2 linked regions of the Arabidopsis thaliana genome follow. The protein of the gene in region 2 interacts with the protein of the main gene of each other region in a pairwise test. Each region holds a gene or a part of one and is shown on either strand. Other genes may lie near its edges.

The links. The genes of interacting proteins can lie anywhere in the genome.
Region 1: the proteins of AT1G76210 (region 2) and PGGT-I interact in a two-hybrid assay, tested with the Arabidopsis thaliana proteins (one large-scale study listed by BioGRID).

What each region holds. Positions count from the first base shown.
Region 1 is NC_003071.7:16,499,597-16,504,929, reverse strand, and holds PGGT-I (Prenyltransferase family protein), read right to left. Parts: upstream 3,360-5,333; 5' UTR 3,265-3,359; coding exon 3,022-3,264; intron 2,934-3,021; coding exon 2,858-2,933; intron 2,764-2,857; coding exon 2,705-2,763; intron 2,610-2,704; coding exon 2,470-2,609; intron 2,272-2,469; coding exon 2,216-2,271; intron 2,124-2,215; coding exon 2,047-2,123; intron 1,945-2,046; coding exon 1,899-1,944; intron 1,642-1,898; coding exon 1,517-1,641; intron 1,417-1,516; coding exon 1,349-1,416; intron 1,273-1,348; coding exon 1,185-1,272; intron 936-1,184; coding exon 786-935; 3' UTR 551-785; downstream 1-550. Other genes in the region: AT2G39540 (Gibberellin-regulated family protein), read right to left, coding at 3,689-3,870, 3,983-4,064. UniProt on the Arabidopsis thaliana protein: Catalyzes the transfer of a geranyl-geranyl moiety from geranyl-geranyl pyrophosphate to a cysteine at the fourth position from the C-terminus of proteins having the C-terminal sequence Cys-aliphatic-aliphatic-X (CaaX).
Region 2 is NC_003070.9:28,594,441-28,597,573, reverse strand, and holds AT1G76210 (DUF241 domain protein, putative (DUF241)), read left to right. Parts: upstream 1-1,577; 5' UTR 1,578-1,691; coding exon 1,692-2,372; 3' UTR 2,373-2,624; downstream 2,625-3,133. Other genes in the region: AT1G76220 (hypothetical protein (DUF241)), read left to right, coding at 1-44.

The DNA of each region.
Region 1 (5,333 bases), on a different chromosome or scaffold from region 2:
TAAATTTTCGGTGGATAGAGAATTTGTTAGCCAAATTTGTGGATTTTGAGTCAAATCACGCGAATAAAGATAGGCTTTGGATTCTATTTTCTTGTAGCAAAGTTACCACAAGTGTTGTGGTTGACATTTAAAGATGCATGAACTCAACACTCAAATCCTAAACCGACTTTCACTTTTAAAAAGGAATTAATTCTCGTTTTATCGAATATGGAGTTAGAAAGTTAAACAGAACACGTGAAGAGAAAAGGTAAAAGAATTATATACTAATCTAATTTGATTTATTCGAGATCATTTGCATCAAAACACACTACAGTAAGAATGATTCTTTTTACGGCATTGAAGAACATCGACCGGTAAATTGGAATAAGACGATTTATGAATAGAGACAAGACTCATGAGAGGCCAAGTGGGGAATCTCTTCCCCTTTAGGATTTTGTCCCAGTTTTTGCAGTTTATGTCTGATACTTTTCCATCCAAGTGGCGTCAACAACACCACTCACTCGTTAACAAAGCGAAACTGCAATCTTACAATAGTCTTTTGTTTTTTTTTCCCGAACTTTCTTACACAATCATGCAACATCTTATTCACAGATTTATGATTTAAAAGTTTTTGATTTTTCGTCCCTAGTCTAAAAAGAACAGAAAATAAAACTCAACAACTAAATTTGCTTTTCTTTGGTTTACAATATTCATTCTGTGAGTTTTAGCAATGTTACCACACGGAATGTTGACATAAATGTTACAATGTGGTGAAAAAAGAATGTGACTTTGAGACAATCTAAACATCAAATTCCCGGGGCTGCAAGAAGAGGTAAACCTAGCTCAGGACATAGAGGACTCAAGCCCTGTTCTTCCAAGAGACTAAAAGCCGTGTAACCGTAGTATGAATGATACAGATCTGGTAATTGTCCGGGGAATTTACTGAATCCACCATACTGGACACAAAAATGCACAAACAATGGCGGCGTTAAGCAGATTGTTATCATCAGTAACCGATCATGAATCGTAGATGTAAACACATGAATGAAGACAATGTACCAAACTATCCTAATGGCTCTATAGGCTGCTACTAGTAATATTGCTAAATAAATATTAGCTTAGTTGCAGGTTTGCCTATCTACTCAGTTACTTTACAAATTTAGAAATTAATATCAGCTGAGATATGAGATGTAGAGAATAGTTACCTTGGACTGACAACTCATTAAAAATTTGCGCAGAGCCATTTTGTCGATCAATGCATCGCCTCCTATAAGTTTAAGGACAGCTCCAATCCTACAAATATGCAAGGCCCATCATAAGCAGATGAGAACAATTAGGGTCGGTGACAGCAAAAGTTGAGGGGACTAACCAAAATGCATAGCATGTGTCACTTGGCTTGTTAGTCCTACCTTGAAACCCACCATCATTTGCTTGTCTCTACAGGCAAGGTAAGAAAAAATTTCAGATCACTCAGGCCATTACGAATCTAAAGGTAATATTTATGAGGTGAAAGTTAACAGATTTTATGAAGCAGTACCTGTAGGCACCAGTTGAGAAGTAATGAAGGGTCTATTATTGAACTGGATGAATCATTTGACAGCAGATCAACTCCAATGTATCCCATCAACCGAAGGGATGCAATAGCACAGTAAGTGGCACCACCTGCATAACTAAGTTGCAGAACGTAGGTAAGCATCATACACGAGTGGAGTCAATTAAACACATTTCCCTCATAACGTAAGAACATAGTAAACTTCTTTTCTTTATGGGTTGCCATTGAAGTAGAAACCTAGATGAAGGAACTAAATTATCTAAAGTGTCCTCAATGATCAATTCAGTAATAACATATGCGCCACTTAGTTGGACTGCACATGGAAAAAATCAACTGTGAGATAGTAGAAAAATTGTTTTCAACTCACCATGAGATTCAGAACCAGGGATCAATCCAAAACCACCATCATATGACTGCACAAAGAATGTTGCACAAGAATGTCTTCTCAACACAGAAATTGACAAATATCAATGGAAGAAAAAAAGACAAAAGCAACTACAAGATCAGAAGTAAACCTGACAGTTTAATATGTAGTTCTTAGCACTCTCCTTATCCATTCCACTCCAACTATCCAGCATGTAACAGATTGCAGCTGAACCACAAAAAAAAAAAAAAACTAGATTGATACTCTACGTAAAGTATAAAGACATGGTATGTAAATCCTGTTAGGTAGCTATTCCTTACCTGCACAATATACAAATCGAAGATCCGTTTCACCTCCAATATGGATAGGCATGAAGCTGTAGCAAAATAAAAAAGTATCAAACACAATTCAGACCCCATTGCTTATTTAATCATTATATGCTGACAAGCCAAACTTGTTGCACCATGTAAATGAGAATATTGCTAGCCTAAACGACTTAGAACAAAGAAAATAAGTAATAAACTTATGGCATTATAAAATGCATTTTACTTTTTTAAGCTCTAAGAACTAATACCTTCCATCATCCTGTTGAAGGTTTATCATGGAAATTAGCAATGATTTTGAGTCGATGGTCGAGAGATCATGTCCAATGACCTTCAGAATAGCCAAAGCACAGTAAGTGCTTGCCAAGTGACTACCGTTGTGCTTTAAATCCTACGCAACAAACTAAACTGTCAAGCCCACACAGATGCAAAACAAAGATAAATCTTGTAACATATAAAGCATAAGGAATATAGACTTATAATTACCCCATTCTCATCAATGGGAAACTGAGAACTCCTTGAACCAAAGAAACCATAGAATTCTCCTGCAGAGAAGAACAAGAACATCTCATTCATTGATCACTAACTAATTAACAATTTGCTCATAAACATACTTCTAACTAAATTCAAGAAAAATACCATCTTTCAGTGAAACTCTGTTAGTAGGAAAGGCCTGGAAGGACAAAACCCACTTTGCAACAACATCTTTATCAACCTTCAGAAATTATAGATGAAATTCACTAAATCAGATTCAGGGGAAAAACAAAGATCGATTCTTTGAGAGAGAGGAGAAAGAGACTAACACGGTCTCTTGCGCCGAGAAAATGAAGACCCGAGATTATGAAATGAGCGAGTGTAAGACGATTGATCTCCTGAGATTGGTAATGGTACGGAAGCAACTCGTACATCATCTCCAAATACATCAAGTGTCGATCTTTCTCGAAATTCGCTGACGGAGATGATTGCACCGGTGGAGAATACTCTTCTTCGTCTTCTTCCTCCGACTTAGATCGGTCCGAATCGATTGACACGGCGGTCTCTGACATAGCGTCGTTCTCCGGTAGTGAGTCAACGAATCTCTCAAAACTCGCTTGGACTCACTCGGCTTTGCTTTCTCTTAGAGGAAAGTAAACAGTTTTTGGATCTGTGGTTTTCAAAAGTCAAAAACAGCACGATGTTACTTTGTATAATCACAAAACGGCGCAATGTTTAGGTGCTCTGATAATTATCTACATGATTAAAGATTAAAGATTCGTTGATGTGTTAAGAAATTAGATTAAAGATTAAAAATGAGATTGAGAAATTTAAACTTTTTTATTCGTGATATATATTAAGATATCACATTGAAGATTTCCAACATTGGGGGCATTGATTTTATTTTATATATTTCAAACATAGAATGTGATTAATATTTCCACACATATAGTACGTAGAAGTTATATGTATGTGATGAGGATCTTCAAAGAACGTTCAAGGACACTTGGATCCACCTTTGGAGTTTTTCATATCACGGTAGCAAGGACATTCATCTTTGTGTCCAAAAGTTCCCGAAGGAACACAATTACACTTCTGGCAACATATATTGCAGTACTTGAGGCATTCTTCATGTTGTCCTGCCTTTGAGCATCTCACATTGCACTTTCCACCGCATGCTGCTAATTCATTTATCACATATATATGTAAAATCTTAGAATTTCAGAAAACTTGTTTCAAAATGATACATGCATGACCTACAATTATTAACTAGATTAAGTAAACACTTACACGAATCAGCACTTGAAAGTACAGAAAATGAAGATGTGAGGAGAAGAGAGATTATGAAGAATTGTACAACCACGAGCTTCATCTTGTTTTCTCGAAAGAGTTTGCTACGTATACAAAATTTAAAGATATGCGAAAACAAAGTAGTGATGGTGAAATGTGGCTACAAAGAGAGGAATCCTTAATAGTGAGAATTTGAAGTGAAATTAATGTTTGTTACTTTAAATAAAGATATCTTTACTTGTTATGTCGGTACTATTTTCAGTTAAAAATATTAACATACAGAAAAAACCATATTCATAAACTTTTTTGACTAAGTAAGTAGTATAATACTAGTATTGAAAGTTTTTTTTGTAACCAGTATTGAAGCATTTTTTAAATTGTAAATTTATTTCTTATAGTGCACATTCATTTCGAATTACATGAACTTACAACAATTTTGAGATATTTTTGAAATCCTGATGAATGATGATTATGACACACAGTTTGTAACACTAACAAATATTCATTTTTATTATTATGTATAACTATTGAAATTCCTTAAGTCACATCTAATATATATTATAGATTAAAAGTATAGCATTAGATGTTGAAAAAAAAAGATTTAACTGTAGTAATAAGCAAGAAGACAGTGAGCCGCCCTTCAAGCACGGCGATGCATGTGGCAGATTGATTCTTAGGAATTGACTCAACTTTTTCGGTCTTCGTTGACTATATATTCAAAAATTGTAAAATTTAACTCAAACAAAAATGTACCTCTTGTTACATGTATTTTGTTCCTCTAAACAGTATGAAAAAAAAACTAAGTTTTCTTTTTAATACGAATGATTGCACCTAAAATTGATAGACGACTAAGTCTATACTGTTACATTAGATGGAAACATGGTTTGAATTATCGCTGCTAGGTGTCCAACTCGAACTTTGTACAGTTGTACTAGGATTCTAATGATTTGCTATGCATATAAAATACATTGTGGCGCAAAAATTACGCTAGTCGCATATTTCTTTTTTGGTTTGTTTGTTTGATTGCATAATTATGATTTGATGTCAAAAGTTGTATAATCAGAATTTGAGAACAATAATATGACAAAGAAAAACATTCTTTTTTCTCAGTTAGATGTAGATACAAGCTTTGTCCAAAAAAAAAAAAAGATATAGATAATAAAAATAATATCAAAGGTTGCCTTCTGGCTACGAAGACTATGAATTTAGACTTACAATTCCTTGGCTAAAAACTGTTTTAAATCTAAATTAATACCATATGTCAATAAAATATATCACGACTTCAATTACTAAGTTAGAACTTAGAAGTGGTGATCGAGTTCCAGCAAGCTCCAGCACGAATTGAAGAATA
Region 2 (3,133 bases):
TGTTGAAGACAAGAGTTTCTTTTCTTAACATGCTTACTCTTTGAGATTGTATAGATGTAATTTTGTTCATTGTGAAGTATTGTTGGCTTTAGTTTAGGCAAAGTCTCTCAGATCATATTGATCTTTAGAACTTGTAAAACTTTGTGTGCAGCGTTCTTAAATCATATTCAAACGATTACTTGTCAAGAATACGAGTTCGAGATAACAATTATCAGCAGATCACTTCAGTACTCTATGAATATTTCATAAGTTTATAGTTATACAATCATGAGACTGATGAGTGTATCAGTTTTCTTATCAGAAGTTGTTGCAAAACAGAGTAAGGATGAATTTGAGATAATGGGCTTATTAATTGAGTTTCATGGGCTTTATTTTATGTTTGATGGGTTGTTTGCAAAAAAAATAGCTAAAGAAATTACGCAATAATGTCTTATTTTCTCTGTGTGTTTTTATAATCACGCAATAATGTCTTCTTATTTCTCTTTTTTTAATCACGCAATAATGTCTCTACATGATGATGACAACAGAGAAAATATAATGCATGGTTGATTATTCGTTATAATTAGTAGCTATACCTTCCAAACGGGAAATCGAATAATAAGATTGCTGCACTAACAACATAATAAAAATGAAAGCATTTCAGCATTTGGAGTTGGAGGGATATGAATCTAATTATATAATTTGTGGGAAGATATTAATTTGTTGAAAATAACCTGAGATATAAAGATCTTAAACATAAAATCTAATCCAGGATGTATTCATGCGTCGAGCCGTCGAGGTGGTTACCTGATTGATAGAGAAATTAGACATATAAACATATATGTATTAATGTATGCGTATTATTACTGTCCACGTTATAGAAAAGGTATATTGGTATTTGTGTGAAACTGTGAATATTTCGCTTGTCCAGAAACATATATTGAGAGGTTAACACGTAACACAATGTCACAATCGCATGTATTGCCAAAGATAAGTTCCGGTTTTAAAATGATTATTGATCATATATTCATATTGATCAAGTAGTTACCATTATTTGTTTTCTGTTACTGTAAGACTTATATTACTTTCTTGTTGGTAATTAATATATCCATTTAACTTGATACATAAAACATATCTGACAAACCCTTAACATAATATTTAAAGTCTGATCCAAAATCTAAACATTTCTCATCTCATTTAATATTCGTCCGTCTGTTCCAAATTGTTGCAATTTACCAACACAGCCTGGCACCGTCGCTCGTGCATGCATGGTATATAGTATATAATTAAACCTTAAGACTATATATTAGAATAAAAATCTTTAAAACTATATATTATAAATTGAAAATCTAAACGAATCCACAATGTACCCTAATCCACGAGTGCCTCTTACGTACAAAGAAGGTTCCTTGTGACATGTTTTGAATCATTTAAATCATTGTTTTGATAATACCTCCAAAATGAGCTGTTCCCCGGATGTCCCACGTCCGTACAAAAACCCAAACTTGGGAACCTTCATCGTACTTTCCCTCAGATCCTTCTTAACCTCTATATATAATCTCATTCTTACACACATTCAATATATCTCTAATCTTCGCTTAAAACTCTCAAGAAGCCCTAAAAACCATTCACAATTACATCAAAAAATACCTTTTCAAATTCTTTTTTTACATTCATAAAGCTAAGTATCTCGAATAGATTAAGATCTATCTATGGCTCAGATTAACTTTGAGGGTTTGAGAGAGCTACACGACTGCGTAAACTATCTCCTCCATCACTGTCCGAAAACAAGAGAATCTCTGTCTCAACAAGGACAAGAGAAATGGACGGAACAAGTTTCAGAAGCTTCATTGAGGATGTTAGACATCTGTAACGTATCCAAAGATGTGATGACGCTCGTGAAACACAGCTTGCAAGATCTACAACTGACTCTACGTGGCAACGAATCATCTGATGTCAACGAGAAGATAGCTGCGTATAATCGGTATAAGAACAAGCTCAAGAAGGAGACACTGAAATGCTTAAACTGTTTGAAGAACATGAAAGGAAACGAAGGAAGAGTGGCCATGCCAATAGAACAGAACCTTCTGTTTGTCACAGAAGTTTTGAAGGAAGTGAGAAGAGTCGTTGTGACGATGGTTGAGTCTTTGTTCTCACTTGGTTGTATTCCTTGGCTAGAGAAGAGATCGAGCAAAGGGTCTTTGTCTTCGATCTTTTCCATTCGGTCTTCCTATTTGTTAGATGATGAATGGGACGAGACTGCGGTGCAAAGCGCGACTACGAGGTTGGAGGCGGCGGAGATTACTGTAGTGGAGCTTGAAATAGAGTTGGAATCTATTTTCCGGCGATTGATTCAGACGAGAGTTTCACTTCTTAATATTCTCACCAACTAGATAATATATGATATGTCCGGATCGGTTAGGTTTTGCTTCAAGCGGACATGTTTAGTTAACATTAAATAGATTGATTTGTAAACTTATTTTCAAGTTTGCAACATCAAATTCTTTTATTCTATATAATTTATTTTTTTACCCGTTTCCTAAACTGGCTACTTGGATTAAAGACTTGAAGTTGAAGGCACACTTTTTGTCTTCACCAAAAATAGAGTCAAAATGAAATTGTTATTCAAGTAAAATTTGAATTATAGATGTTTGTTTATTTATTCACAATTCATGTTGCTAGAATAGACATTTTCAATTTGATGATTTTGCATATTTTTTTTGGTTTTCAGATATAGTTATAAAAACCATTAACAAATTCAGTTTCGTAAGTGTTAATTTGTATACTTAACACAGCGAATATAACTAATTTCTAGTGTTTCTTTGTAATTCGTATCATTGGAGGCTGGATCTAAAAACACGAATCTCGCAATGCGTTTTATTTCAAATTAATTTGTTGACAGCAAAATAACAACATGATCAGGAAGTGCAACACACAAGTAGTAACTTAAAACAGAAGCAGCAAGTCTTACAAAGTTGTGTACAAAAACAATTCACGTCTTCTTCACAGTTCTCTTTATTTCGACATATGAAGCTGAAAATTAAGAAAAAAACAAGAGACGATCCTTTTTTCGTCATGATCTTCAAAGGTTCAGTGAGACCTAGCAGCAAAACCCAAAACCAGATTAGTGTCAAGTAGTTTGAGCAATGCTTAT